Cricetulus griseus: one gene and its partners. The main gene of each other region encodes a partner of the protein of the gene in region 6 in a complex. Links are inferred from orthologs where the notes say so. Each region holds a gene or a part of one and is shown on either strand. Other genes may lie near its edges.

Evidence for each region.
Region 1: the proteins of guanine nucleotide-binding protein G(s) subunit alpha isoforms XLas-like (region 6) and Cckar are in contact, whole or in part, in a cryo-EM structure (PDB 7XOV), measured with the Homo sapiens proteins. The link is inferred for Cricetulus griseus from reciprocal best matches to the Homo sapiens genes GNAS and CCKAR. Residues at the interface, in NP_000507.1 of Homo sapiens: Gln31, Gln35, Arg38, Ala39, His41, Asp215, Val217, Phe219, Asp354, Gly355, Tyr358, Phe376, Cys379, Arg380, Ile383, Gln384, Arg385, His387, Leu388, Gln390, Tyr391, Glu392, Leu393, Leu394; in NP_000721.1 of Homo sapiens: Thr76, Glu138, Arg139, Ala142, Ile143, Cys144, Pro146, Leu147, Gln148, Ser149, Arg150, Val151, Gln153, Thr154, Lys155, Glu235, Leu236, Ser301, Ala303, Asn304, Ala307, Lys308, Arg310, Val311, Met314, Phe372, Met373, Asn374, Lys375, Arg376.
Region 2: the proteins of guanine nucleotide-binding protein G(s) subunit alpha isoforms XLas-like (region 6) and Taar1 are in contact, whole or in part, in a cryo-EM structure (PDB 8W88), measured with the Homo sapiens proteins. The link is inferred for Cricetulus griseus from reciprocal best matches to the Homo sapiens genes GNAS and TAAR1. Residues at the interface, in NP_000507.1 of Homo sapiens: Gln35, Arg38, Ala39, His41, Asp215, Val217, Phe219, Thr350, Tyr358, Phe376, Cys379, Arg380, Asp381, Ile383, Gln384, Arg385, His387, Leu388, Gln390, Tyr391, Glu392, Leu393; in NP_612200.1 of Homo sapiens: Thr58, Asp120, Arg121, Ala124, Val125, Cys126, Pro128, Leu129, Arg130, Tyr131, Lys132, Ala133, Asn136, Ile213, Ile216, Ala217, Gln220, Leu223, Ile224, Asn228, Lys248, Ala249, Thr252, Phe307, Tyr308, Pro309, Trp310.
Region 3: the proteins of guanine nucleotide-binding protein G(s) subunit alpha isoforms XLas-like (region 6) and Gpr12 are in contact, whole or in part, in a cryo-EM structure (PDB 7Y3G), measured with the Homo sapiens proteins. The link is inferred for Cricetulus griseus from reciprocal best matches to the Homo sapiens genes GNAS and GPR12. Residues at the interface, in NP_000507.1 of Homo sapiens: Gln35, Arg38, Ala39, His41, Val217, Asp323, Asp343, Leu346, Arg347, Thr350, Tyr358, Cys359, Pro361, Phe376, Cys379, Arg380, Asp381, Ile383, Gln384, Arg385, His387, Leu388, Gln390, Tyr391, Glu392, Leu393, Leu394; in NP_005279.1 of Homo sapiens: Met79, Arg138, Ser141, Leu142, Tyr143, Ala145, Leu146, Tyr148, His149, Ser150, Glu151, Ile220, Ile223, Val224, Arg226, His227, Ala228, Gln230, Ile231, Gln234, His235, Phe237, Lys248, Gly249, Thr252, Leu253, Ile300, Arg304.
Region 4: the proteins of guanine nucleotide-binding protein G(s) subunit alpha isoforms XLas-like (region 6) and Gpr3 are in contact, whole or in part, in a cryo-EM structure (PDB 9LYB), measured with the Homo sapiens proteins. The link is inferred for Cricetulus griseus from reciprocal best matches to the Homo sapiens genes GNAS and GPR3. Residues at the interface, in NP_000507.1 of Homo sapiens: Gln35, Arg38, Ala39, His41, Val217, Phe219, Asp323, Asp343, Leu346, Thr350, Tyr358, Cys359, Phe376, Cys379, Arg380, Asp381, Ile383, Gln384, Arg385, Met386, His387, Leu388, Gln390, Tyr391, Glu392, Leu393, Leu394; in NP_005272.1 of Homo sapiens: Met75, Arg134, Ser137, Leu138, Tyr139, Ala141, Leu142, Tyr144, Tyr145, Glu147, Ile216, Ile219, Val220, Arg222, His223, Gln226, Ile227, Leu229, Gln230, Arg231, His232, Lys244, Gly245, Thr248, Arg300.
Region 5: the proteins of guanine nucleotide-binding protein G(s) subunit alpha isoforms XLas-like (region 6) and Tacr1 are in contact, whole or in part, in a cryo-EM structure (PDB 7RMH), measured with the Homo sapiens proteins. The link is inferred for Cricetulus griseus from reciprocal best matches to the Homo sapiens genes GNAS and TACR1. Residues at the interface, in NP_000507.1 of Homo sapiens: Arg38, His41, Val217, Phe219, Tyr358, Phe376, Cys379, Arg380, Ile383, Gln384, Arg385, His387, Leu388, Gln390, Tyr391, Glu392, Leu393, Leu394; in NP_001049.1 of Homo sapiens: Met63, Thr67, Asn68, Asp129, Arg130, Ala133, Ile134, Ile135, Pro137, Leu138, Gln139, Pro140, Arg141, Leu223, Gln239, Ala242, Lys243, Val246, Met249, Leu308, Asn309, Phe312.
Region 7: the proteins of guanine nucleotide-binding protein G(s) subunit alpha isoforms XLas-like (region 6) and Gpr21 are in contact, whole or in part, in a cryo-EM structure (PDB 8HMV), measured with the Homo sapiens proteins. The link is inferred for Cricetulus griseus from reciprocal best matches to the Homo sapiens genes GNAS and GPR21. Residues at the interface, in NP_000507.1 of Homo sapiens: Gln35, Arg38, His41, Val217, Pro321, Asp323, Arg342, Asp343, Leu346, Arg347, Thr350, Tyr358, Cys359, Pro361, Phe376, Cys379, Arg380, Asp381, Ile383, Gln384, Arg385, His387, Leu388, Gln390, Tyr391, Glu392, Leu393, Leu394; in NP_005285.1 of Homo sapiens: His61, His62, Thr64, Arg127, Ala130, Ile131, Thr132, Pro134, Leu135, Thr136, Tyr137, Asn138, Thr142, Pro143, Ile214, Ile217, Cys218, His221, Thr222, Asp224, Ile225, Arg228, Gln229, Arg231, Phe232, Arg249, Tyr250, Val253, Leu254, Asn308.

What each region holds. Positions count from the first base shown.
Region 1 is NW_023276807.1:121,968,377-121,972,562, forward strand, and holds the start of Cckar (cholecystokinin receptor type A), read right to left. Parts: upstream 2,847-4,186; 5' UTR 2,576-2,846; coding exon 2,464-2,575; intron 1,737-2,463; coding exon 1,485-1,736; intron 1-1,484. UniProt on the Homo sapiens protein: Receptor for cholecystokinin. Mediates pancreatic growth and enzyme secretion, smooth muscle contraction of the gall bladder and stomach. Has a 1000-fold higher affinity for CCK rather than for gastrin.
Region 2 is NC_048595.1:243,172,575-243,175,720, forward strand, and holds Taar1 (trace amine-associated receptor 1), read left to right. Parts: upstream 1-1,513; coding exon 1,514-2,509; downstream 2,510-3,146. UniProt on the Homo sapiens protein: Intracellular G-protein coupled receptor for trace amines, which recognizes endogenous amine-containing metabolites such as beta-phenylethylamine (beta-PEA), 3-iodothyronamine (T1AM), isoamylamine (IAA), cadaverine (CAD), cyclohexylamine (CHA), p-tyramine (p-TYR), trimethylamine (TMA), octopamine and tryptamine.
Region 3 is NC_048597.1:82,425,155-82,428,103, reverse strand, and holds Gpr12 (G-protein coupled receptor 12), read left to right. Parts: upstream 1-1,409; coding exon 1,410-2,414; downstream 2,415-2,949. UniProt on the Homo sapiens protein: Promotes neurite outgrowth and blocks myelin inhibition in neurons. Receptor with constitutive G(s) signaling activity that stimulates cyclic AMP production.
Region 4 is NC_048595.1:20,064,584-20,069,072, reverse strand, and holds the start of Gpr3 (G-protein coupled receptor 3), read right to left. Parts: upstream 2,942-4,489; 5' UTR 2,812-2,941; intron 1,773-2,811; 5' UTR 1,768-1,772; coding exon 775-1,767; 3' UTR 1-774. UniProt on the Homo sapiens protein: Constitutively active G-protein coupled receptor that maintains high 3'-5'-cyclic adenosine monophosphate (cAMP) levels that a plays a role in serveral processes including meiotic arrest in oocytes or neuronal development via activation of numerous intracellular signaling pathways.
Region 5 is NC_048601.1:73,759,163-73,762,878, reverse strand, and holds part of Tacr1 (substance-P receptor), read right to left. Parts: intron 2,859-3,716; coding exon 2,708-2,858; intron 1,029-2,707; coding exon 832-1,028; intron 1-831. UniProt on the Homo sapiens protein: This is a receptor for the tachykinin neuropeptide substance P. It is probably associated with G proteins that activate a phosphatidylinositol-calcium second messenger system.
Region 6 is NC_048599.1:4,771,473-4,775,936, reverse strand, and holds guanine nucleotide-binding protein G(s) subunit alpha isoforms XLas-like, read left to right. Parts: upstream 1-1,531; coding exon 1,532-3,884; intron 3,885-4,097; coding exon 4,098-4,372; downstream 4,373-4,464. UniProt on the Homo sapiens protein: Guanine nucleotide-binding proteins (G proteins) function as transducers in numerous signaling pathways controlled by G protein-coupled receptors (GPCRs).
Region 7 is NC_048599.1:148,760,421-148,764,565, reverse strand, and holds the start of Gpr21 (probable G-protein coupled receptor 21), read right to left. Parts: upstream 2,989-4,145; 5' UTR 1-2,988. UniProt on the Homo sapiens protein: Orphan receptor.

The DNA of each region.
Region 1 (4,186 bases), on a different chromosome or scaffold from region 6:
TTTGGCTACTAAAGTTGTTCTGAGGTGAAATTCACACAGCATAGACTTGACCACCTTGAAGCAAAGAGTTTCCCGGCCTTCAGAGCTGTGTGATTATGTGAGTACCTCTGTGAATTCTCCTCCCCACTCTAGCTAAGATGTTAAAGCCCAGCAGATGCACATGGATGGGCCCCAGGAGTTAACAAGCTTTCAACAATGCTTCATTATCTAACCAAGATCCTTCCCATTTTTCTTAAGGCTTTAGAATATGTTCAGGGGACTTGAACACAAATGACATCCTTAGTTACTAATCTGGGGGCATGAGAGTCATCGATTCATCATCATTGTGTCATCTGTTGGATCTTGAACACTCAATTGGGAAAAAGAAAGGCTTTTCAATGCTTTCTGGCCTGCGAAGATTTCCCTAGCCCTCGTCAGTGCTCTCTGTTTAACACAGCTTGCGTCAGAATCAAACACACACACACTCCTCACCCTCTTCTTCTTCTCAGTTGGTTCTCAGAATGGGCAAGGGACAAGGTAGTGTGACAGACAGAGAGGACCAGGGACATGTTTCTGTCCAGGGTTAGGAGAACCTCAGTAGCTGGCAAGCTGAGGCATGAACTCACCACTGTGGTGCCTGCTAATCTAGGTTCAAACCCCAGCCCCCATGCTTCCCCTGGCACGTGCTTGGCAAGATAGGGAAGAATTGATGATAGCTATTTACCAGGTGGACAAGAAATAAGATCATGGAAGTGAAAGTGCTCAGCAAAATACCTGGTGCATAAAAAAGTACTAAGAAAGTAGCTTTGTGGGTTTTGCTACAACCATCATTATGTTTGGCAGCGAGCTATAGGGCTCATCCAATCAGGATCTACTTCATAATCCATGCTCCTTAGGAACATATTCAGCTTCTTATTACACAAACACACACACACACACACACACACACACACACACACACACACACACACACACACACACTCCACAGACCCCTGGCCTAAGATGCCCCCAGGCTTTGAGAGAACAATCTGGGAAGTGAATCCTGAAAGGAGTAGCTAGACAGAGATGGAATGGTTTAAAACAGCCTCCATTTCTCACAGAACAAGAAACACAACAACAAAGAGCCCTGATCCTATGCACCTACTCCATTCCAAGAAACCCTGTCCCAACTTGGGGGTTAATTGGCATACAATCATCTGCCAGCAGAAAAGTATGGAGTGACTTGAAGTCACCTATGAGTTCTTGTCCTTATTCAAAGAGGAAACTCCACTGAGTTCCCACTGTGTTTTTGTCTCAACTTCTGACACACACTCCCTTGCAAGTAGAAGGGCTGACTTGCTGTAAAGAGAGCACCCATGTCCTACATGGGCCCAGCCAGCCAGATGCTTGGTATTTGGGAACCCAGGAGGGTCCCTCTGCTGTGACTGTCAAGCAGCTGGCAAAAGCGGGGGCTAAACAGGGCTGAGTGAGAAGAGCCCCATCAACAGCCACCTGCAGCGACTCACCCATGAAGTAGGTGGTGGTCTTGCACATAGCACTTCCAAAGATGAAATCCTTGAGCAGATTGGGGATGAGGTTGAATGGCATGCAGAAGAGACAGAGCATGAGGTCACTGACAGCCAAGGATAGCAGGAAGATGTTGGTGACAGTCCGCATCCTCTTGTTTCGAATCAGCACCGTGATGACCAGCGTGTTCCCCAGCACACTGAGGAGGAATATGAAGGAGTAGAGGAGAATCTGCACTGCAGGCTGCCACTCTGCAGAGGAATGGGGAAGAGTTGCAGGGAGGTGGGTTAGGAGGGTGGAATGTGAAAACCTTAGCCCCCCAAGGAGTGGTCATTTCTGATGATGTCCCCTGCTGGCATGCATCACTGAACCCGAGTATCCCTGTGCTGCCTGCATCACACAGACACAAGCCCAGGGAAGCACAGGGCAATCCAATTGCTTTTTTAAAGGTTGGTGTGTGTCAACAGATCACTGGGGAAAGCAGTTTTTTCCTAAGGACAGTGCTCCTGAATGGTGACGGCTTCCTTTCCCTGAGGCTAAGCATTATTTTATTTTGCTTTAATCACTTCTTCATGCTGGGTTTCTCCTAAGAAAAGGTAACCTCTACCCCTGACAATGCTTTTTCAGTAATGTGTGTAGTCCCGGCTTCTACACTTGGCACCCCTTTCTGCCCTCAGCTCTTCTATGCTTTTGTCATCTCCCCCGAATCCTTCATGAGTTCCCAACTCTCCCATGGGAACAATAAGAATATTTGACTGTAGATTTCTCTTACTCGTTTATCCAAACTTCTGAACATACAACTTCATTTAGCTTTGTCTCACAGGGATTTTGTACACACACACACACACACACACACACACACACACACACACACACACACACACACACTGTACATACATTTTAGTCAACCTTGCTGTTGCTATCATCTCCCTTAACTGGGTGGTTTTCTGAACTCCAGTCACAGCCTCTAACACCTACCTTTTGAAGGCTGAGGTCGATCCAGGCAGAAAAGAGTCTCATTTTCCAGGCCGAGTTCACAGGGGGGAGTAATGTTGCTCCCATTCATGAGAAGGCTGTCGACCACGTCCATCCTGCTGCTCTCTACCAAGTGCTGGCGAGCTGGTGAATGGCTCACTCCTGACTCGTTCCTCTAATGACCGGAGAGTCTCCTAAATGCAACCTGCCGTGGAGGGGCAGGGAGGGGGTATTTCCAGGTGTGGGCTTTGCAGCCATTCCTAAAGGCAACTTGAGTTCACCATTCTCAGACCAGCTGGGCAAGCACTTGCACTCCTGTGGGGAGAAGCAGCCTGTGCAAGTCAAGCCTGCTCCACCTTCCAGGCCCACCCCTCCCATTCCTGGGCCGGTCTGAGGCCCTGAGCACAGGCAGCTTGGCTGCATATTAACCCTTCCCAGAGTGGGGCCACATCTACACACACACACACACACACACACACACACACACACACACACACACACGGGTGGAGAGAGAGAAAGAGAGAGACTTCCCAATTACCACCTCTCTTCTCTGCCTGTCAGTGTCCCAGACATATTCAGAGTGAAGCCTGAAATGTCTGTGTGAGACAGCATCAATTAACATGGTAACAGATCCGATAATGCAGACCATTGGGACTAAGGGACACAGAGAGACTGCATTCCTATCTCCTTATATAAAAGCAATTAGTGCCTTTTAGCTTTGGAGCCTTGCCCAGTAATGTGTATGGAGAGAACTTCTGGGTGGTTGTTAAGGTGTTACCAAGCACAGTGCTCGGTCTTGTGGTCTCTGCCCTTGTTAACCAGAAGCAGGGGACTCTTCTGAATGCAGATTCCTAGGTCCTTTATTTTATTTTATTTATTTATTTTGTATTTTTTTAATTAGAAAGAAGATTATTTTACATGTTAATCCCAGGTCCTTCTCCCTCCCATCCTCCCTCCCCCACCCCACCTAATACCCTACCTTTTCTGCTCTCCTAGATCCTTATTACTATAGAAATCAGCAAGAATTCTCATTCACTTGTTTATTTTTTATTGTTTTGCTTTGTCTCTCCACCCCAGACCTGTTCACTGAGAGTCAACCATTTGCTGAGTACTTCTCAAGCCCATCAGGAAAGAAGAGCACCTCAGATGCTGTTAAGTTGGAGAGGGGAAAAGTGGGAAGGGATTTAGGCCTCCCTGGTGGGGGTGGGGGTTACTAGTGGTGCAAAGCCTGAGATGTAAATGCGAAAGCCTCCAAACAGGGGACAGAATACTTTCTGCAGAGGCCACAACCAGTGCAAAGGGCCTGAGGCAGGAAGGGGCTTGGCCTATTTGAAGGACAGAAGAAGGAATAAGTGAAGGGTATGTTGGGAGATGGCTAGTGTGTGAGAGGCCTGTTTAGGGGCTTGGCTTTTTCAGGAAGTTGGACAATACTTAAAAGCCCCTCACTGTTCACTGCACTGGTCTTAGTTTGAACATCTAAGAAACAGGCAATATTAGGATCTGTGTTTCTTTCTTGCTTTATTTTTTTTAAAAAATAAATTTATTTATGTATTTATTTTTATATCCTGGCTGCGGTTTCCTCTCTCCACTCTCCTCCTAGTCCCTCCCCACCATCCCCCCTCTGCTCCCACCCCCAATCCACTCCTTTTCCATTTCTGTTTAAGTATCAATAAAACACAGCATATCAAGTTTCAGGAAGACTAAGCGCCTCCCCATGTATTAAGGC
Region 2 (3,146 bases), on a different chromosome or scaffold from region 6:
CATGCATTCAAAATACGTGTTCTTCCATAATAATGTTGTTTTCTTGGTTGGGAATCACCCTTGTATGGACACCAGAAAAAATAGCTGGAAAATTGTCATTAGCATAGTCCAGCAGATGATGGCTTGGACAAGAATGGCTACCAGTGGAAATAAAAAGTTGTCTAAGTCTATATGTATTTTCCATGGAGATCTAAGATAATTTTTTATCAGGTAGCTGTTTGCAACTTTAGATACTTGAACCAGTAGAAATGAAAAAGTGGTCTAAGATGTAGACATATTTTCCATGGAGAGCCAAGATAAATTTTATCAGGTAAGTATGTTTGGTCTAAGAAAACAAGAATTGCATCAAGATTTTGGATTGACTATTATCATTATTATTATTATTACTATTATTATTATTATTATTATTATTATTATTATTTGTGTGTGTACGATGGCAAGTATGTACAGTTAAGAAGATATCTTTGGGAGTCTTTCTCTCCTTTTACCACATGGCTCCTGGAATCAAACTCCAATCATCAGGCTAGCATGACAAGCACCTTTATCCATTTATCTGTGTACTCTTGAGGTGGACCTCTTATTTTGAAGATGTATAGGGTAGAGAATGAGAAAGATTTAGGCAAATTATGTAAAAAGGACAGAGAGCTTGACCTAGACATGCTAAGAGATGACATCTTCTAGCAGGCAGGAAATACTAAGCTAGAGTTGTGAGGGAAGATCAGGGTGCATGCACTAAGATTTGTTGGCTTGTAGATTAGTTTAAGACCCCAAGACCATCAGAAACTGGAGAGAAGTTGTAGAAGGGAACAGGGGTATGTGAGAGGAGAAGGACAAGTAACAGTGACAGAAAGGAGCAAAACTTGTAAGGGATGGTGACTCAGGAGCCATAAAAAATGATTATTGGAAGAGGTGACTAGGATACCAAAGACTTACCCTTGAGTTCGGCAATCTAGTAGTAAGTTGACTAAGAATGACATTGATAGAGTATAGATGGAAAATGTCTCATGGGGTGTACTCACAGGCTATTTTAAATCCCTGACAATTTAAATGTGACCTGTACAGTGTAAGTCTTCAAACTCTGTCTTTCTTCAGACAAGGACTGTTTCCACTGATTGACCCAAAATAATCATCATCTGGTTTTCTTGGGCTTTTAGACATGGAGGTTTTATGTGCCGATTTTATTTCATTTCAAGTTTTATATTTTAGCACAATGTCCATCTCCAACTGGATATTAAACATGTTTTGAATTGACTTATTAAACTAACATTGGAAATAAAACTTTCCAAGCAGATATTCTTCAGCAAGAGTGTGGAAATACGGTATAAAAGGATTAAGTTAGTTGCTGATCACTTAATCATTTCTCTTCTTCTTTTTGCTCCTCCCAGGTTTCCAGGACAAGTATGTACCCATAAGAAATGAAAGGAGATGGAACTCTAACCTGCCTATGGATTCTGGAGGAAGATTGCTCAACAGCCTAAGAGAAAAACCAGCCACTGTGTAGTTCTCTGTAGTGATGCGTCGTTGCCACGATATTAACATTTCCCACATGAACAGCAACTGGTCAAGGGACGTTAGTGCTTCCCTCTATAGCTTAATGTCACTTATAATTCTGGCCACTCTGGTTGGTAATTTAATAGTAATAATTTCTATATCCCATTTCAAGCAACTTCATACACCCACAAATTGGCTCCTTCACTCCATGGCCACTGTGGACTTTCTGCTGGGTTGCCTGGTGATGCCTTACAGCATGGTGAGGACAGTTGAGCACTGTTGGTATTTCGGAGAAATTTTCTGTAAAGTTCATACCAGCACTGATATTATGCTGAGCTCGGCATCCATTTTCCACTTATCCTTCATTTCCATTGACCGCTACTATGCTGTGTTTGACCCATTGAGATACAAAGCCAAGATGAGTATCTTGACTATTTTGGTGATGATCCTCATTAGCTGGAGTGTTCCAGCTATTTTTGCATTTGGAATGATCTTCCTGGAGCTGAACATCAGAGGAGTTGAAGAGCTGTATCACAAACAGGCTGGCTGCCTGGGTGGCTGTTCTACCTTCTTTAGCAAAGTGTCTGGGGTATTGGTCTTCATGACTGTTTTCTATATACCTGGATCTGTCATGTTGTTTGTTTACTATAGAATATATTTCATAGCTAAAGGACAAGCCAGGTCAATTCATGGCACAAGTCTTCAAATTGGATTGGAAGAGAAACACGGAATGCCACAAAGCAAAGAAACAAAAGCTGCGAAGACCTTAGGCATTGTGATGGGTGTTTTCCTCATATGTTGGTCCCCTTTCTTTTTCTGCATGGTCCTGGACCCTTTCCTGGGCTATGCTATCCCGCTCACTTTGATTGATGCACTGAGTTGGTTTGGGTACCTGAATTCTGCCTTCAACCCAGTGGTTTATGCCTTTTTCTATCCCTGGTTCAGAAGAGCATTGAAGATGATTGTCTTTGGCAAGATTTTCCAAAGAGATTCATCTAGGTCTAAGTTATTTTTCTAATGCAACACATGTAACCATTATATATTTTATTGTTTTGTAAAAGAGTTGGTGATTATATTTATGAAAATAGTGAACCAATCATAGGCAATAAGTACATTGGCTTTTAAGGTCAGTTATTTGAGTTAAGATATACGTGATGAGTTTAACCTGGTATTTGGCACAGAACAGATGTAGTAATTTGACATTATTGTTATGTAGGTTTAACTATGGTAAGTGCAGTATTAAAGACTTACATGTGAAAGAATTGTCCCTGCCATTAGAGGACCTTCTGTGAGTTGACAACAGTAATTTATTCATTCTGCAATTTAATCACAAGGCTGAATTTAGTGTAGAAATTAGAAGGAATTTGCCATACATACAACATACGTAGGAAAACAGGGGAAGGGATAGTGGTTTCTAATAAGATACCTTAATAGGAAGTCAGAAAATATTATAAATTATATACATTGATTTGCAATTAAGGTATTTCTCAAATAGATTTTACAGAATTAGTTTCAAGTTTCAATCACTGAAGATTTGGATTTACTTAATAACAGTTACATCTTCATAATCAAATTAAAGAAAGGCAGCCAATTAAAAATAACTAAGATGTACATTCCACTGTCTGTTCATAAATCTGAAGATCTCCTAGGATGTA
Region 3 (2,949 bases), on a different chromosome or scaffold from region 6:
AAGGCAGACACCTCCAGGATCTTAGTCCTAGTCTTCACGGATGTGGTAATGGAAATAATAAATTAATAGTGTCACTTTGGTAATTAGATGAATTGGGTTTGGGCCAGTGCCTGCAGGAAGCTTTTGCAAGATCGCCCTAAATGATTTCCACTCGCAAACGGCTCCAGGAGTACTTAATAAGTAAACCGGGAGATGATATTGGCGATCCAAGTAGCAGCGACTTTCACCCAGTTAAGCGAATGCCCCCAGGGAAACAATAACATCGAGTTTGCAGAGTGGCCAGCTGCAGCTTGTTACTGTAAGGTTCCCCTGCCCCAACCTGCTTCTGCATCCCTCCTGCACATCCAGAAAACCCAGTCGCTGTTTGCAATTCTTTTGGTCCTGAACCTGGCGTTTAGGGAAAAGCATGACAGAAGCCGAGACCCCCAGTGGCTAGGACTCATCCGGGAAGTCACGGGAACCAAGTAGGACGCCAGGTTCTCCTCCAGGACTGGGTGCAGAGCGGGTCTCGGCATGACTGCTGCAAGCGGGTGTCCATCGTGGCGGTCCCGCCCCGCGCGCAGCTGCGACCTGTGGGGGCGCGCGCGGCCTCATGGGGTTCCCGCGGGCGCGCGCCGGGCAGGGAGCGTGCAGGGCGGAGAGCCGGGCGCGAGCGCCGCCGCTCACCTGCCGCGGGCGCCACCGCGGACGTGCCACGCGGGTGGCCCGCGCTCTTCGGCAGCACCGGAGGAACCCCCCTCGGTCTGGGCGTGCCAAGGTGACCCCCGATGACCCCCCTGCCCCGCAGGCTGCGCGTCCCCACAGCTAGGGGAGCGGCCAAATGCATGCACATCTTTCTGTCTGTCTGTCTGGGCACCTCGGTGGTACACACCTACCTTTTGTGGCCCTTGCTCTTTGATCCGTGCACACGGGATGAGGCTGGGACAACCCCCCCTCCCCCCGCCTCTTTGTTTGGGTCCGGAGGTGTGTTTGGGGGTGTGCACGCGCGTGGGGGATTTTTTGGGGCGTGGGAGTTCTGGGCCCTTAAAATATTCCACCCTTCTGCAGACTTGTAGCTGCTGGGCGGTGCTCTCGGCTGTCCAGATGTCAAACAGTTGTTGCTTTTTGGCATGCAAGATGCAATTAGCCAAAGTCGGTTCCCAGCTCTTTGGCGAGCGCGCTTGTGCCGCCTCGGGAGTCCTGTCCTGTGTTTCCCTCGGTGACAAACGGCATTTCAGTTGTGGGGTTTAATCTATGCAGACTTCAGCTTTTGTTTCTAATTCCTGAAGCTCGCGGCATTTTTTGACACTGGTGTCTGAGTCCAGGGCTGTCTGTCTGTCTCTGTGTGTTTTGCATGATCTTGGATTGACACCCTACTGTACCCAAACATTAAAAAGCCTATCTTTCCGTTGAAGAGGACAGGGGTTAAAATGAACGAAGACCTGAAGGTCAATTTAAGCGGACTGCCTCGGGATTGTATAGATGCCAGTGCTCCGGAAAACATCTCAGCCGCTGCCCCCTCCCAGGACCCTGTGGCAGAGTCAGAACCTGAGCTTGTTGTCAACCCCTGGGACATTGTCTTGTGCAGCTCAGGAACCCTCATCTGCTGTGAAAATGCCATTGTGGTCCTTATCATCTTCCACAGCCCCAGCCTTCGAGCACCCATGTTCTTGCTGATAGGCAGCCTGGCTCTTGCAGACTTGCTGGCTGGCCTGGGACTCATCATCAATTTTGTTTTTGCATACCTGCTGCAGTCAGAAGCCACCAAGCTGGTCACAATTGGACTCATTGTCGCCTCTTTCTCTGCCTCTGTCTGCAGTTTGCTGGCCATCACTGTGGACCGCTATCTCTCACTGTATTATGCCCTGACATACCACTCTGAGAGGACCGTCACGTTTACCTATGCCATGCTGGTTATACTCTGGGGAACGTCCATCTGCTTGGGGCTGCTGCCTGTCATGGGCTGGAACTGCTTGAGGGATGAGTCCACCTGCAGCGTGGTTAGACCTCTCACTAAGAACAATGCTGCCATCCTGTCCATCTCCTTCCTCTTCATGTTTGCACTGATGCTTCAGCTCTACATCCAGATCTGTAAGATTGTGATGAGGCATGCCCATCAGATAGCCCTGCAGCACCACTTCCTGGCCACGTCGCACTATGTGACTACCCGGAAAGGGGTCTCAACCCTGGCTCTCATCCTGGGGACCTTTGCTGCGTGCTGGATGCCTTTCACGCTCTATTCCTTAATCGCCGATTACACCTACCCCTCCATCTATACCTACGCCACCCTCCTGCCCGCCACCTACAATTCCATCATCAACCCTGTCATATATGCTTTCAGAAACCAAGAGATCCAGAAAGCCCTCTGCCTCATTTGTTGTGGGTGTATCCCTTCCACGCTGTCCCAGAGAGCACGATCTCCCAGCGATGTGTAGCAACCTTCCTCCACCTGCAGGACACTGCCTCCACCAAGCACCCTGCTGCCCAGGATGGCCAGTACTTTCCTCCCCTTCGGTCCTTTGCGATGGATTCTCACAAACAGAAGCAATGACATCAGTCAGATAAGCAACGACAGTAGAAACCATGTCACCAGTGTTAAAAACAAAAAAGAAAAACAAAACGACTTCTCTGTTCGGCGTTATGTTGTTTGCTTCAGAAGTTAGGTTTACTATTATTTTAAAAATATTTTATTTAATAGGTTTATTTTTCTTTGTTTGGAGGTTGTAGTGGGACCCCATGTGGTCATGAAATGATGCACCAGTCCTAGGATTTTTAACCTAGACCTGAAAATAAATTGAGGTTTTTTTTTAAGGAAACTGGAGAAGGGATTACCTTTTCTGGACTTTTTTTTTTTTTTCTAGTAAAGGTGGATCTTCCATTTTGTATGTATCTAACAGGATGTGAGCTTTTTCATATGACCAAAACAGTTTACATAATTATGTTTGGAAAGACTTGTTTTCAGTAACACGA
Region 4 (4,489 bases), on a different chromosome or scaffold from region 6:
CCCAAATGGCCACCAGAGGGAAGCCGGGCCTCAGCGCAGAGGAATTCTCGGTTATTCAGGTGATGGCTTCTTAAAAAAATAAAAAAACCAGAGGCTGGTGTGTTCCTCCTGCAAACCCGAGCAATGCGGGCCTGGGGAGGAGGCTCTGGTTTCTATGATCTCTCTGATAAAAAATAAGCAAAAATAACAAAATACATTGTTTTTCTTTCTCCATCCCCACTCCGGGAACTGAGGTCAGAAATGGGGACAAGGGGGCTGGGGACAGACACCCTGGTACAGACTAGATTTCAAAGTGTGGGTCTCTTTTTTTTTCCCTTATCACCCTTAAGTAAATTTATAAATAAATACATAATAAATAAATAAATATACTTTCTTTGTATGTTCATATATAGAGTGAGAAATCTTTTCTGTAGGCAACTAAGTGATTAACCTCTCTGTACTCTGGACTTTCAAAATTCAAAACTAAAGTGACATGGTCAAGGTCAAGTTTCAGGGAAGGAAGATCAAGGACTTGGACTGGTGCTGTAAAATTCCCAGCATTCTGGAATTGCAAACCACTTGGAACCACCATCTGGAACATTCTAGAACCATGCAGCCAGCTGGGCTGGGCCCCTGAAAGAATCTTGAACAAGATCCTAAAACACCCAATGTCTTAGAACTCCAGAACCAGCTGGGTCTTAAGGGTGTGGAGCTGGGGGTTTGGAACTAAGCCCTGGTGGGCCTAACATTCTGAAATTCTGTAGTAGTCAAAGCCACACAACCACCAGGATGAAACTAGACATCACTAGGGGACCGGGACCGGAACGGGATCTTGGAAGTCGAGCAGCAGCAGCAAATGGCCCACAGCACCTTCTGCACGTCTTGGTTGCGGAAGGCGTAGATGACTGGGTTGATCATGGAGTTGTAGGTGGCAGGGAGCAGGGTGAGATAGGTGTAGAGATATGGAGAGTTGGCATCTCCCAGGAGGCAGTAGACAGTGAAGGGCAACCAGCAGGCAGCAAAGGCGCCAAGCACCACGGCCAATGTGGCGATGCCCTTGCGGGTGGCCACGTAGTGAGAGGCAGGCAGCAGGTGTCGTTGGAGGGCAATCTGCTGGGCATGGCGGCAGACAATGCGGCAGATCTGGGCATAGAGCTGCAGCATGATGCCAAACACCATGAAGAAGGCTACGGCCAGGACCACCAGATGGTTCTTGGAGAGGGGATATACCACACCACAGGTGGTCAGGCCATCCCGGCAGTTCCAGGCCAGCACAGGAACCAGCCCCAGACCCAGGGCCCCCACCCACACCAAGGCCAGCATCAGATAGGTCCGCGTTACTGTTGTCTCTGAGTAATAGGTGAGGGCGTTGTACAGGGAAAGGTAGCGGTCAACAGTGATGGCCAGCAGGCTGCCAATGCTGGCAGTAAAGGCCATTGCTAGCACACCAACCAGCACCAGGCTCATCTCTTGTGAGCCAATGCAGAAGACAGCCGCAAAGTACAGGACCAGGCCCAGGCCCGCCAGCAGGTCTGCTATGGCCAAGCTACCCACCAGCAGGAACATGGGGGCACGGAAGGCAGGAGTGCCCACGATGATGGCCACCACCAGTGCGTTCTCGCAGGACACCAGGGTGCCTGAGATGCACAACACCACATCCCAGGCCTTGGGAGAGGGCAGCAGTGTAGCTGGGCCTGTGGGTTCCTCTCCTGGGTCCACACCGCTCACATTGACGCTGCCTGAGCCAGCTGAGAGCCAGGCCATGGAGCTGCCTGTACCCCACAACATGGTACCTGTAGAAGAAAGGCCCTATGAGATACTGGCAGGCCCGTATTCTGACAGGAGGCCCTTGGGGGAGAGATACCTCTCAGGATAACAGGTAGGGCACCAATGCCCTGTCCCCCAATTCATGTCCTGAGGCTCTTGCCCCATGTTTTGTCCTCTGATACCTCCAGGCCTCTAAACAGGGGCCTCTTTTCCTGCCCATCTCTTCCCTGTGTCTCTTCACTCTCCTTTCCTTTCCTATTAGTCTTAAAGACCTCTTTGCCACGTGTGGTCAGAGAAGTGGATTAAGCTTACCATAAGTGAGTGGGGAACCACAGGATTCAAGGTGAGCCTTAAAAGGGCTCATGACTAGGGGAGGGAAACATGTCAAGAAGGAGGGCAGTCAGCTCCCTCCCATCAGAGAGGATGACTCGGTTCCTGAAGCTCCCAGACCCCTCACGATTCTCAGCACTGCGAGCCTCAGGCTCCGCCCCCGGGCAAAGCCGGTGCAGCTTTTTGCCAGCCCCCAATCGACATTCCTAGGGTAACACCTGGGAACTCATTTCCCCTGTACTCGCTTCCGGAATTCTGTCTCCGGACAGACCCCCTTTCTCCACCTAACCTCTGGGTCTCCGTAGCAGACACCCCCTGGTGGAAGCCTGGATTCCTGAGTCAGACCCCTCCTTCTGCTGGGACACCTGGGTCTTGGGCCTGACTCCGCCTCCTGCCTCGGATAACTGAATCCCTAAATAAGACACCTCCCGCTGCTCGGACGCCCAAGTGCCCGCCCCAGATGCCTCCTGCTCTTTCAACCTCAGATAACTGCTGGTCCCTCCAGGGCCTCGGGTCCCGCAGGAATGCTCGCCCTTTGCCGGGTCACCCCATCACACCGCTCGAGCATCCTGACGCTTGGGGAGCCGCGTGCTGATGCAGAATCTGCTCGTCCAGACTCCCAGCTACGACCTCCGGACCCCGAGCAGCGGCCCGCAGCCTTCCGCCGGCCCAGCGCCCCTGCACCCTACGTGTCCTCCCAGACCCTGGGTGGCCGCGGCAGGGCCCACTACTCACCGCTCAGGACCGGGCGCGGCCGGGCCGCGGGGAGCCTCCACTCAGGTCCTGGCAGAGCAAGGTGTGCGCGGACCCCAAGAAGCCCCCGCGGCCGCGGGAGACGCGGCGTGAGTCACCCCGCCCCGCCCCGCCCCCGGCCACCGGTTTGGTGACGTCAGAAGCCCAGTGGGCCAATGGGCGCGGCGCGCTGGAGCGCAGCGCGCGATGCGCGGCATAGTAATGAGGCCTCGCGCCGCCCGCTCCCCCATTCATAAAAAGTGACCGTGGCCGCGGCCCCGCCCCCTCCGGAGTCGGCCCGAGCTGTCCTTGACGCGGCGCCCTCTGCGGGTCGGGGGCTTTGGGGGCGCTAGTGGGAGAGCCTCAGAAAAGACTCAGGGAGGCCACAGAGGATGTAGGAAGAGGACAAGGGACCGGGATAGTCCGCGGGGGTGACGAGCACCCTCGGGTGTCAGAAATGAGCTGACACAAGACAGGTGATGGGGCTGAATGGGCGTCCCCGGTGAGGATGACAGGCTCTGCTTCTGATAGGGCCCTGGGGTGACAGTGACAGGAGCACGAGGGAGTAGGGAGGTGGGTGGCTGTGACGATGGGAGCGTGGTGGCAGGATCTTGGAGGACGGTGGCTGTGGGACGTTGACGGTGGGGGAAGGGGTAGGGCTCCTAGGGCAGCTAGAGCCCTGTCAGAGTGACTGCAGCATGATGAAGCTCGGGGACCCCAGGGTCTCAGAGGTGGTGACAAGGCTTTGGAGATGAGTATTCTGGTGAAGGAACTTGAGGTCACTGTGACCCTGTCAAGTGATAAAGGATGAAGGCGACAAAGCTAAGTGAGGACTGTGGGGTCCCGGGATGCAGATCAAATGACTTGTGGTGGGCCCCAGAGTGAGGGAACAGGGTGGGAGGTCTGACTGGACAGTGACCCAGCAGGTAAGTTGCTGCCAGGACAGGTCCCGTGATGCTGGGGTTGGGATAAGGAGCTGGGTGACGTCACTTATGTGGGTCCAATAGCGTCCTCGCAGCACGGGAGGGTGTGCCTGGCTAGATTTCAAAACCTGAATTATTTATTCAAGGATCTGGAAAGCCAGCGCAGGGAGGTTGAGGAGGTGGGGGGGGGTCACTTCCCCGAAGCAGCGGGAGATAGGGAGCCGGGAAGAACTTGGAAACAGAAGGACAGGGCAGCTCCATGCTCAGAGCAGCCTCACAGAGCTCCCAGCCTAGGTACCCCAGGGGTGGGGCAGGGGGAAAACTTCTTCCCCAACTATGCCTGCCCCATGCCTAGGGAAACGCCCCATCAGTGACTCTTGTGACCCCAGTACCAGTCCTGCCCCCTCTCTCTTTGATCCTCTCTGGAACACTCAAGACTGGAAGAGGGTGATAGGAGTCAGATTAGGGTATGAGGCTGAGGAAAGGAAGGCCAAGAGGCAGGCAATAACATCACACCCTTACAGAACCAGGGCTGAAGAGAAAGGCACATTTTGGGTCAAATGTGGTGAGTTCAGCTGGTAGGAATAGACAGACCAGCTTCGAACCCTAATCCCTCCATTTCCTAGCTGTGTGACTGAGAAGTGAGTCTCTCAGGCTCTCTGAGCCCATGTTTTTTCACTTCTAAACTAGTGACATTAGTGCCTACTAGGGACTGTTAGGAGGCCCTGGGCCCATTATCAACACAAGCTATGTATTGG
Region 5 (3,716 bases), on a different chromosome or scaffold from region 6:
GATGAAACTGTGAGGTGCATAGAGAACACACATACTTCTAATGCTTGTGTCTCAGTTACAAGGGGGCCCTTCCCAGCTGCAGAGAGAGAGAGAGAGAGGGAGAGAGAGAGAGAGAGAGAGAGAGAGAGAGAGAGAGAGAGAGAGAGAGAGAGAGAGAGAGAGACACTTACTGGCTGTCAGCTTAGGTTTAGTTTCAGTAAGAGACTCTGTCTCAAGGGAATAAGGTGGGGGATGACAGAGCAGGACACCTGCCATCTTCCTCTGGCTTCCAGTCGCACACACAGATGCCCACTCACACATACAAATTTTCACACACACAAGAAAAAAAACACATTACACATGAAATAAAAGTAATTTGTTTCCTTTGATCAAGAAAACCAACCCACTCTGTGCTCACACTGCTCACACTGTTGCAGAGCCCCAGTGAGCATTTCTTGGAGTGTGGTTAGCTTGCTGCAGACCCACCTGTAGGGAGAGACCCTGGATACCTGTAGCATTGACCACGCCTGTTTTGGCATGGTCACAGGTATTCAGAGAGGTAGGATAAAGAGAGAGGAGGCTCGGCTCTCTCTCTCTCTCTCTTTCTCTCTCTCTCTCTCTCTCTCTCTCTCTCTCTCTCTCTCTCTCTCTCTCGGTTCAGGTCAGATCTTAGAGGCATCTGAGACTGGGCTTCTTGGAGTGCCAATCTGGTTATCGGCTTCTCGTGTGAGTATCCCCTCTTAATAAATACCATTAAATAACCATATCCAGTGTTCGAGTCTGTTCCATATCACCCACCACTCCCTTTTGATGGTGGCTTGTAGTTTGGATGTGTGAGCATGGTGTCCTCACCTGTCATTGAGGCAGCAGTAGATGATGGGGTTGTACATGGTGGAACTCATGGCCAACCACATGATGGCCAGGTAGACCTGCTGGATGAACTTCTTGACGTAGAGATCTGGGTTGATGTAAGGCAGGAGGAAGAAGATATGGAAGGGCAGCCAGCAGATGGCAAAGGTACACACGACCACGATCATCATTTTCACCACCTGGGGAGAGGGCAAGGCAGGCAGGCCCATGAGCATGTCCTTCTGTGGGATGGCTTCTGTCCCCTCCCCATCACTGTGCAGCGTGGGTGGGAAGGGAGGTGTTTACAATGTTGTCTTCTAAGGCGGCTGGGAGACCTTTAACACTCGGGCTTAAGGATCCTGGTTACAGTTCTCTGCCTGTGACCCAGGACTACCATCATCGCTACCACGAGGGACTTGTTAGGAATCGCAGGTTATTGGACTTGTCTGTCCTAGCTATCTAGAATTATAACCTGAGAGTGGACCAGGAAACCTTCAGAGGACTCCGATGTGCTGTTATGTGACCTTGCTGGGCAATGTGTAGAGAAGCCAAGGGAGAGGCAGTGAGCAGAAGTGGATGGGGACTCAGGAGAAAAGCTCCAGGGAAGGCAGCAGAGCACTGGGCCAGGGGAGGGAGCTGCGGAAGGTGCTTGGTCTGGAGACATCGCACGCTGAGTTGGAGTTGCCAGTGGGATGTGATGTGTGACAATATTAGGACCCAGGCCTTTGGGAAGCAATTAGACACTGATAGCAAAGATTTATAGACAGGATTAAAGCCTTATGAAGAGGTCTGGGAGCTCTCTTGCCCTTCTACTGTGAGAGCACCCAGTGCAAAGGCAACTGTCATGAGCAGGAAGTACCTTCACCAGACAGGGACTCTGCATTGGTCCAGGTCTCCTGGACCCTAAAGCTGTGAAGACCAATTTCTCTTGTTTATAAATTTCCAGGTATAAGTGCTTTCTTTGTGTATGCATGTGTGTATGTGTATTACTTGTATGCATTTGTCTGAGTTGTATGTAGCTGTATGTGTATGTGTGTGTGTATATGAGTTGTGTGTGTATAAGGGTATGCATCGATACACATATGAGTGTGTGAACTTTTGCATATATGTATATTAGCACATGTGCTTGTGTATGTGTATATGAATATGTGCATATGTGTGTATGTATGTTAATGTGTTTATGAATGTCTGCACATGAAGGATTATGTGAATGTGCTTGAGTATATATATGGGTATATGTGTATTGTGTGTAAGTATGTGTGTGTATGAGTGTATTTGAGTACATGTATCTGTATATGTGTGTGAATTTTTGTGTTGGGTGTATTTATTGATGTATGCACATATGGGTATATGTGTATAAAGTTTGTGAGTGTATGTATATGTATGTGAGCATCTACACCTGTATGTGTACATAGGTTTGTGTGTATTTGTATATGAGTGTGTATGTACATTTATATGAGTATTTGTGTCTATGTGCTATGAGTCCTTATATATATATATGTGTGTACATGTGGGTATGTGTGTGTATTATATGTATATGTGTAAAGTAGGTTTTTTTATATGTACAAGCATGGGTATGACTGTTTATGTATATGAGTGTCTGTATGTGGATGTATACATGTATATGACTGCTGGCGTGTATGTGTATGAATGCATGTGTGTGGATGAGTATTTTGTATATGTGTGATTATGTGTACATATGAAAGTTTGCACATGTGTATGAATGTGTACATGTACTTGTGGGTATGAAGAAAGACCCTGCTTTCCTCTCCTGTTCCTGAGGTCCAGAGATGCCTTATGGTTTCTGCCTCTGGGGACTCCCTGCTCCCCCGCCACTGTCAGTGACAGGGTGGACTATGCCTGCTTGACCTTTGCTCACCTTGCGCTTGGCAGAGACTTGCTCGTGGTAACGGTTGGAGGAATCCCCAGGGATCTCGCTGGCCCACAGTGTGATCCCTACCACAGTGTATGCATAGCCAATCACCAGCAGGGGCAGGAAGTAGATCAGGATGGTCACACAGATGTGGTACCTGTGAGGCAGACAGAAGAGTCAGTTGTAGAAACAGCAGGCCATTAGTTTGTAGCTACCTTGCTCAGCCTTGGCCATCAGGCAGGGAGGAACGCCACCTACACAGAATGAATGGGTGATGATCCAGAGAGAACTACTCAATTTGATTTATATTCTTCTAGCAGACTTTCCCCATGTTTATAAATTTTCTTGTTTTTTGCAAGCAAATATCTGACATGGAGCAACTTATTGGAGGTAGTGTTTGTTTTGGTTTGCATTTTGAAGGGCTAACATCCATCATGGCAGGCAGACATGGCAGCAGGAGAGGCAGCTGGCCACACTTGCTGTCTCACGAAGCGGAGACACAAAGGAAGTGGGCCTGGACCGTAAAACTGGCTAGCTCTTAGATTCCCACTTTCCCCAGCAAGGCTACATTTCCTAAGTTCCATAGCCTTCATCTCTCCTTCACCAGCACTCCACTTGCTTCCACTCATTTCTGTGTAAATTTCAACAGCTCTGCCACATCTCCAGCCTTCTCGGAGTATGAAAATCAACAATTTGAAAATGCTTGAGGAGCCCCAAGTCAAGCAAGCTGAAAAATTGGTGAGGCAGAGTGGTAGCCCATTGATTGTGTGCAGGAGGGCTGATCCTGGCTTCTGGGTCTCTCAAGGTCCTCTGGGTAGTCACCTCCTCCTACAGCCACCACAGCGGTGGCTGTGTGTTGTGTGCCCAATTTGCTTTCAGTCCTTCCTTCAGGTTGCTGTGGTGACTGTGTTCACAACAAAGCATTGAAAGATGACACAGATGGACAGAACCAGAGAACACTTCAAGACTTCCCCATGGTCCCTTCCTGAAAGAACAGATCTGCCTCCTGTGGACT
Region 6 (4,464 bases):
TCTGGAAATATTGTTGCAGTTCCAAGTACAGCGTCTGCTCTCTGGTGCTCACAGCATGAGGAGGGGGACTGGCAGGGGTCTGCTAAGGGATTAGCGAGGGGTTAGACGAACTGAACGCGAATCGTCGGCAGGCTCCCGGAGCCGGAAGCCGCGAGTCTCGGTCGCCGTTACTGCCGCGGCACGGTGGGTCGGTGGGTTAGTGCTTATCGGGTCCTCTAGTTTTTAAGACCACTCTAAATGGGTCACGATCCCACGTATCCCACCCAGTCTCCATTCCCCCTTCCTGAGAAGGCAGAAGCCCGTGCTAGGTGGGGGTCTTCCGGTAAGCCCCGCGCCCCCTCCCCTATCTGCGCCGCCGGCGCCGCAGCGGTAACCGCGTAGGGGTCTTTGCTCGATTTTGCCGCAGTGTACCGCCGAGACCCTTATTTCTACTGCGTCACCATCCACATAAACAAGCCGAAGCCTGATGCGTCACGCTAGGCTATTGCTGAGAGCCCCCCCACCGGAAGTGTAATGGGGAAGGGGCATATTGAAGGGGGATTTACCGAAGCTATCCTTGACAAACAGCAAACAAAAACATTTAAAAAAAAATAATAAAATTACCCCGGAGCATTTAAAAAACAAACTGCGTGTTCATATTTGACAACTCATCGCCCTTCATCCCCTCTCCGCCTTTCCGGTGGGCTCACGACCACCTGTCGCATTTTTATGATCGCTCCTCTACCCCTTCCCGGGCATCCTAAAGGCTCATTTCCCCAACTCAGAGCTGAGAACGGGTAATTGCCCGAGGCTGGGGTCCTCGGATAAGGTGTTTGCCGCAGACTGGGGTAATCTGGGGTGACAAAGTCCTCCTGCAGTCCCTCCTCCCCTCGGGAAGAATCTGATGGGGCGGGAGGGTTTCAGCGCCTGTACTCTGTCAGACCAATGCCCACGTCTTACGTCACGTGGCCCAGCAACGCAGGAGAGCGCGCTCTCTCTCTCTGGCCAGGGGAAAAGCGAGGAGCTCAGACTCAGAAGCAGTCTGGGAGAGGAGAGGAAGGAGGCGAACCTCCCTGCGAGGCCTGCGCTCATCAGCCCCCATACCCAAAGTCGGGAACTGCCGGCACCGGGAGCCAGCTCCCGGAGCCGGCTTAGCACTGAGACCGGCGTCCTCTGGCGGCAGAGAAAGAGTTTTACTAACGATTTTCGAGACGAATCGGCACGCTCTTAGATGCCAAGAAGGCGGGGCCAAAGTTAGCAAAGTAAGAAGAGAGTCCAGAAAAGTCGTGGGAGTGGCTGGCCGACCGCAACTTGAAGGCAGAAGTGTGGCTCCGGAGGCTCCGGGTCTTCCCAGCAAGAAATGAGGTACTTCAGCCACGATCTTGAGTTTTAGCCTCTCAGAATCTATCCTTACAAAGATTGGAAACTGAGGCTGGAGAACTTTCCAGCCAATACTCGAATATTTTAAAAGAAAAAATTTTTTGACCCTAGTTTGGCTGGGTGCTCCGTCTTACGGGGCCCCAAATTTATTTTAAAAAACCGCAACCGTGTTATGGGCATGCGCAGCCGCGTCCACGGCAACAATATGCCAGGACAACACGATATCCCCGGTGAAGTCGGGGAGCAGCCCGAGCAAGAACCTTTGGAGGCCCCAGGGGCAGTTGCCCCCGGTGCTGGGCTTGGCCCAGCCGAAGAAATGGAGGCCGAACCGTCTGCCAATGAGCCCATCCCCGCCGAGAACGGCGCTGAGGGCTATGGACCCCAGGGGGTCTCCGGAACCGACTTTCAGGGCGTCCACCAGGCGGTCGAGGAAGTCGGAGTGGGTGGAGACTATAGCCCCCCACCAGAGGAATCCATGCCATTTGAGACGAAACAGCCCAGCCCCGGAGGTTTCTGGCCCACCCTGGAGCAGCCTGGAAGATCTGGGGCCCAAGCAGGTCTCAAAACCTTCAATCCAGCGCTTTTGGAGCCCGGGACCCCCAGTGGTGCGAGCCCCGCCCAGGGAACCTACAGCCCCCCACCAGAAGAAGCTATGCCATTTGAGTTCAACGAGCCTGCCCAGGAAGCCCATAGCCAGTCGCCCTTGCCAGTCCCAGACCTTGCGCCAGGAGGTCCGGAGGCAGAGGTCCTCAGAGCACTTCCCGCGGAGCCCGGGAACATCAGATTTGCAATCGCTAGCTTGCGAGATGACTACAGCCCTCCACCTGAAGAGTCTGTGCCGTTTGGGCCCGATGGAGAAGAATTTGGGGGCGATAGCCCACCCCCGGGCCTCCCCCGAGTCACCCGACAAGTCGGCTTTGGCGGCGAGTTCCCGACAGCCGCGGTCCCGAGTGCGCTCAGTCTCGCTCCCGCCGAGAACGCGCCTCCCCTCTGGGTCCACAGCGCCATTGACAGACCGTTCAGCGAGGCTATCAGAGCTCCCGCTAACTTCGCCTGCGACAGTCCCCCAATGGAGATCTCCAGACCCCCGCTGGAGATTGGCAGAGCCTCCTCTAGGGTCGGCGACGACACAACTGTCAATATGGACGGCCCCCCAATCGCAAGTGTTGGCCCGCCCATCGAAGTCTCCGGAGCACAAGATAAGAGCGAGCGCGGCGCAGAGAGACCCCCAGTTGAGCGAGAAGCAGCCGACATGGAAGGAAGCCCAACCACCGCTGCTGCGGTGGAAGGAAAAGTCCCTTCTCCGGAGAGAAGAGACGGATCCTTCACCCAGCCAGAAGCCATGGATGACAAGCCAGCCTCAGCTGCCCAGACCGTCGCTACCGAACAAGATGCCGCCTCCGCGGCTGCCAGCGGCGGCTCTCCTCCAGCCCCAGCAACACCCGCGGATCTCCAAACCGATCCCGAAGAAGTCGGAGCCACCCCAGCTGTCCGCGCGGAGCCTGACGGAGGAGCAGCCCCGGTCATCGCAGCAGCAGCCACCCCTGCCGAGTCTGAAGGTGGAGGAGATCCAGCCGCCGCGGAGGAGCCAGCCTCCGAGGCAGTCCCTGCCGCCAAGGCCGAGCCTGCCTCCGGGGCAGCCCCCGTCACCCAGGTGGAGCCCGCAGCGGCGGAAGTCTCTGCTAAGGCAGAGCCTGCCGCCCGGGCAGCCCCTGTCACCCCTCCGGAGCCCGCTCCCCGGCCAATCCCCACTGCCAGAGCCCATCCGGCTGCCGGGGCAGTCCCTGGCGCCCCAGCGATGCCAGCCTCCGCTCGGGCAACTGCCGCTAGGGCAGCCTATGCAGGTCCTCTGGTCTGGGGAGCCAGGTCACTCTCGGCTACTCCTGCCGCCCGGGCATGCCTCCCGGCCCGTGCAGCTGCCGCCGCCCGGGCAGCCTCTGCTGCCCGGGCAGTCGCTGCGGGCCACCCAATCTCTGTCGCCCGGTCAATGTCTGCCTCCCGGGCATACCCTCCCGCCCCGAGCAGGGCCCATCTTAGACCCCCCAGCCCCGAGATCCAGGTTGCTGACCCGCCTACTCCGCGGCCTGCTCCGAGGCCGAGCGCCTGGCCAGACAAGTATGAACGTGGCCGAAGCTGCTGCAGGTACGAGGAGGTATCATCCGTCATCTGCGAGATTGACTCCTCCAGCGATGAGTCGGAAGAAGGGGCCAACGGCTGCTTCCAGTACCTTCTGCGACGAAACCGCCGCCCCGGCCAGACCCGGAGCCACACGGTCGGATGCAACCCAATCCGCAACTTCTTCACCAGAACCTTTGGAAGCTGCTTCGGAGCCCCCGAGAGAGCCCGTTCCCTCAGCCCCGGGAAGGCCAAGGATCCTTTTGAAGAGAGGCGCAAACAGATGCGCAAAGAGGCCATTGAGATGCGAGAGCAGAAACGCGCAGATAAGAAACGCAGCAAGGCCATCGACAAGCAACTGGAGGAGGAGAAGATGGATTACATGTGCACACACCGCCTGCTGCTTCTAGGTAATGCGGCATCTTCTGCCCCTGGGCAGTAGGGCCGCCCTGGGCACCCGGGGAGGAGGTGGTAGGGCCTTCCGGTGGGGCTTGGGCCTTGACCACGGGAGGAGGGGGTCTGGAAACCCTGATAGAAGTTCCACGGAGGGACCCCAACTCTGCCCTGGGGGTGGGAGAGGGGATTTTTTGAGGGTTCGGGTGGCCGAAGTATATACCCTCCAGGGAGAAAAGTGGTGCCGAGCGACACTGAGGGTCGTTACCGGCCGGAGGCCAGCGCCAGCGCCAGCGATCGTAGGCTGGACAGGCGGGGGCGTGAGGTGAGCCCAGAACTGCTGGGGAGGGCCCTTCGGGGCTCCCCCGGCTTAATTGTTCGTGACCGCGGTGGGCTAGGGCCATCGGGGTGCGCGCCCCCGCCTCGCCTGGCACGGCTGCTTCGACTCAGACAGCTTGTTGTTGGTGTGTGTTGGTGTCCATTTTCTGTGTTCGCCTGTGCATGACATGCTCAGTGTGTCCCAGTTTCATATCCCTGGCACCTTCAATGTACCCGCCGATTGTGTACTTTCACTCTGAAATGGGTAGTCTTGTAGAA
Region 7 (4,145 bases), about 140 Mb from region 6:
CGTGCAATTTCCCTTTGAATTCTTCCTGGAATAGGGAGAGCCAATGGCAGTTGTCTGGACAGTCCCAGACTCTGCCATACTGACATGTTCACCATGCACCAAGTGAGGGAGGGGGGAGGGGCGGAGGGAGGAGGATTAGGAGCTTCAGCAGGAGTTGTGATGTGTCTCCTCTGAACAGCTGATAGAAGAAAAGGAGAGAGCATTTTACATTCTGCATTCCATGTCCTCTAGTCAAAGACCCTAGCTAGCTCTCACTGCCACCCTCCACCCCTTCAGTCTCAGCAGCAGCCTCCATAAAGGACAGTTACTCCAGAGGAGCAGCTACACTGACTGCAACTCCAAGATTAACATAAAAGGAAAGCAATTACAGATCCATTCTCTTTTATTTAACCTGTTGTGGGAGAGAAAACCTTCTTATGGCAATCCTGAAAATATTTGGCCACAATTATCATTGATCAAAATTAACCAAGATTAATTTTCTCCATTACATCCAATGCACTATTTACTTCTGAAAACGTCTTTAATTTAAATGCTTAGAATGCATAGAATTTAAATGCTTAGCCCAATTACCTGTAATTCTGCATGCTGAAATCCAAACAAAAGCCACAATAAATCCTTAACAGAAAGCCTTGCAATGCAGCACTGTACTTCAGCCCCTGTACAACAGAACTAAGGCACAGCACAGAGGGAGGGGATAAAGGAGTAGGAGGGGAAGCAGGAGGAAGGGGCTTGGGAAAAGGAAGAAAGGGGGAAGGGAAGAAAAACACTTGTGCTCACACACATTCTAGAATCTTGGGCATTTGAATTCATCGCCAGAGAGAAGCTCTGAGTTTTTACACTGCACTGTGGGCACTGACGTGGGTTGCCAGCAGTGCAGCATCTGAAAGCTGTCTCTTGTCTGTCTAGAATCCCCCTCTTAGGCAAATGAGTAGAATCCAGACTGCCAGTAAGAAAAATGGGCAGTAACTACAGGGGTGGGTGGGTGGTGAGGGACTGAAAGGAGGGGGATGGAAAAAGAGGGAGGAGTCAGGAGTTGGGCTGAAGGCCACTACCAGAGGAGTGAGGGGGAAAGTCCTATTTTTGTTACCACTTTCCCAAGAACAAAGAACGGTATCAAAGAAAGGAAGTGTGTTAACAGTACATGACAATGGAGGAATTCTAATTCAGCTACATAAAAAGTTATAGCTGGAAGACTTGAATATTCAGCCTCAATTTTCTTTTACCAGTTATTGGATATTGGCCAATATGATGAAAGGATGCTGTGATGCTGTTTCATCTCTCCCCACCCAAGTGATAGCAAACGTGACAGCATGCAGATATTCAGGTACAAGTATCGTATCTTACAATGCAATCTAACACTACGCAAATTGAAATCATATAGCATTTTTTTTTTCAGATAACTAGGAATTGGGTGCCATGGGAATGGTATAATTCTGCCTGAATAAAGCCCCATATCCCCAGAAGAGTAAAAGTAAACCAATGATGGCCTCTGTAATAATCCCAGGAGATATACACATCTGAACAGAGCACTATGTGATCCAACTTGTATTCTGATTTATTTTATACAGGCTTTCTTATTGTGGGCAAGAGGATGCCTACAATCACAATTCAGTGAAGTCTAAACACTGTTTAGCTGAGGAAAGCAAGGACCTAAAACATGCTGAAGCACAAGACTAACAACAGTATACGACAGGCCTCAGCAAAAAACAGCAGCATCTTTCTATATTTAAACCACTGTCACTCAAAGATTATTTGAGGTACTGACTCCGGTTTCTACTTCTCAAGGTCCCTTTCCACACTCATCCACCAGCACATGGTATGCTGGGCTCTGAGCTTTCTTATACAGTATAGCAGTCTCCTGAGTTGCAATTTTACAGTCCATTATCTATGCTCAGCTGTAGTCTGAAAGCACTGAATGGAAAATCCTGCAGTTTAAGACAGCCCACATTCACATAACTTATCACAACATACTGTCACAGCTATTTTGTTGTTATCTATTATTTTTAACCTCTTACTATGCCTACTTTGTAAGTTATACTTTATTGACAGTATGGAAAGGATAAAACAGTTACAAGTCTGGCACTATCTGATGCTTTAAGCAACCACTGGAGAGCTTGGAACATGTCCCCAGTAAATAAGAGAGACTCCTTTGCTACTATTCTCAGTATAAGCCACAATTATCGTTTGCCATATTTCACTGGAACAAAAACAACATTCTAAAACTAACATGATAAATAAGTTAATAACAGTGACTGGGCAGCTGCTTACACTTAATGTGACTATGAATCGTGCTGAATACTTTCATTTATTAATCCTGTCAACACTAACAATCATACTAGCAAGGTTCTATTTATGCCTGGGGATAGTAAATTGCCCAACAACAGCTAGAAAACAGTGGTGCTAGGATTTGAAGCAAGACAACCTGCCTCTTGTCAGACACATGAAATCATACATACTGTTTCTTTACTTTATTTCATTTCTTTTTTCGGGGGGGGGGGTTTCGACAGAGTTTCTCTCTGTAACTTTGGAGCCTATCCTGGCACTCGCTCTGGAGACCAGGCTGGCCTGGAACTCACAGAGATACGCCTGCCTCTGCCTCCCAAGTGCTGGGAAACACAGTTAAACACTGGAGCATCTGCCTTGTATGTATGGTCAGTACTGGAAATACAAAATAGTATAAAATAAACAAGAAATAAAATGATTCCAGCTTTTTTTCCCTGTTAACACAAAACCATTAATGTCACTTTCTAAGATTTGGCCCTTTCAGGCTTCTGGCCTTACCTCAGCCTCCTCACCTCTGCACAGTGAGTGCTTCTCCCCAATATTGCAGCACTATACCTTGTGCCCAAATACCAACCTCCAGGATGACTTCAGAAGACAAGTCCTCTGGGCTGTGGTGGCACTCATCTTTAATCCCAGCACTTGGGAAGCAGAGGCAGGTGAATCTCTGTCAGTTCGAGGCCAGCCTGGTCTACATAGTCAATTCCAGGACAGCCAGGGATACATAGAGAAACCCTGTCTCAAAAAACAAAATAGACAGACAGACAGAAAGAAGACATGACTTTTAAAAGGGTTGGATGAGAAACCTTTTGTTTGTTTTTGGTTTTCCTAGACATGGTTTCTCTGTGTATCTCTGATGCTCTTAGAACTTGTTCTGTAGACCAGAATGGCCTCCAATTCAGAGAGATCCACCTGCCTCTGCCTCCTGAGTGCTGGGATCAAAGGTGTGTGCCACCACCACCTGGCTAAATAAGAAACATTTAATGTCATCTGAATACAGTGGTTATGTATTTTCTTCTAAACTCTCATGAAATTTTGTTTATTGTTAACTGCCTAAGTGTCTCAGGACTGGTACAAAGAAACAATTCTCCTTTGAATAAATAACATAAGCCAAATACAACAAAAATTCTGTTTTTAGGTTAGAAGAGCTTTCAAATAGAGTTGTAATGATAACTGCTGGTATACCCACAATACAGGCCTGGTAGGAGTTCCTATTCTTACAGTTCAGGACCTACAAGCAAACTCAGGACTTTCATTAGCTTAATGTTTCAGAGCACTTCAGATTTTCTTATCATGGTGGTTTAACTGATAGTCTATGCAAACCAAACTAAGGCAAAACAAAACAACAGCACCACAACCAAATAGAAAACCCTGACTCTGCAACAGTTCTGATCCCAAGCTTTTAGATAAGGATGTTCAATCCATACCCAACTAAATGATATAAAATTTCTGTGGGTTAAAAAAAAGAAAAAGTCCCAAATAATAACAATTTCAAAACAGTCAAAACAATATATTCACATTCTTGGAATTCAAGAAAACTTAGAACTCCCTAGACAGATTTGATATGCAGGAACTCAATGGAATGGAAGTATTTTCACAAAGATATGCAGAGTCTTTATTTTCACAAGTAATTTAAAGAGGCAGACCTACGGCAGCAACTGCTATAGGATAGTTTGTGTGTATGTGTCACCTGTATTTCATTGGTATACTTTTTAGTGTACAAAATAATGGGTTTCATAATATTCTATTATATCATTATAATAGTGTATCATTATACTTTGTGTTCAAATTCCCTCCCACTCTTCTCTCTTACCCAGTACGAATGGCCCTCTTCCTTTCCCAAAATACTTTTAAAGGCAACTCGC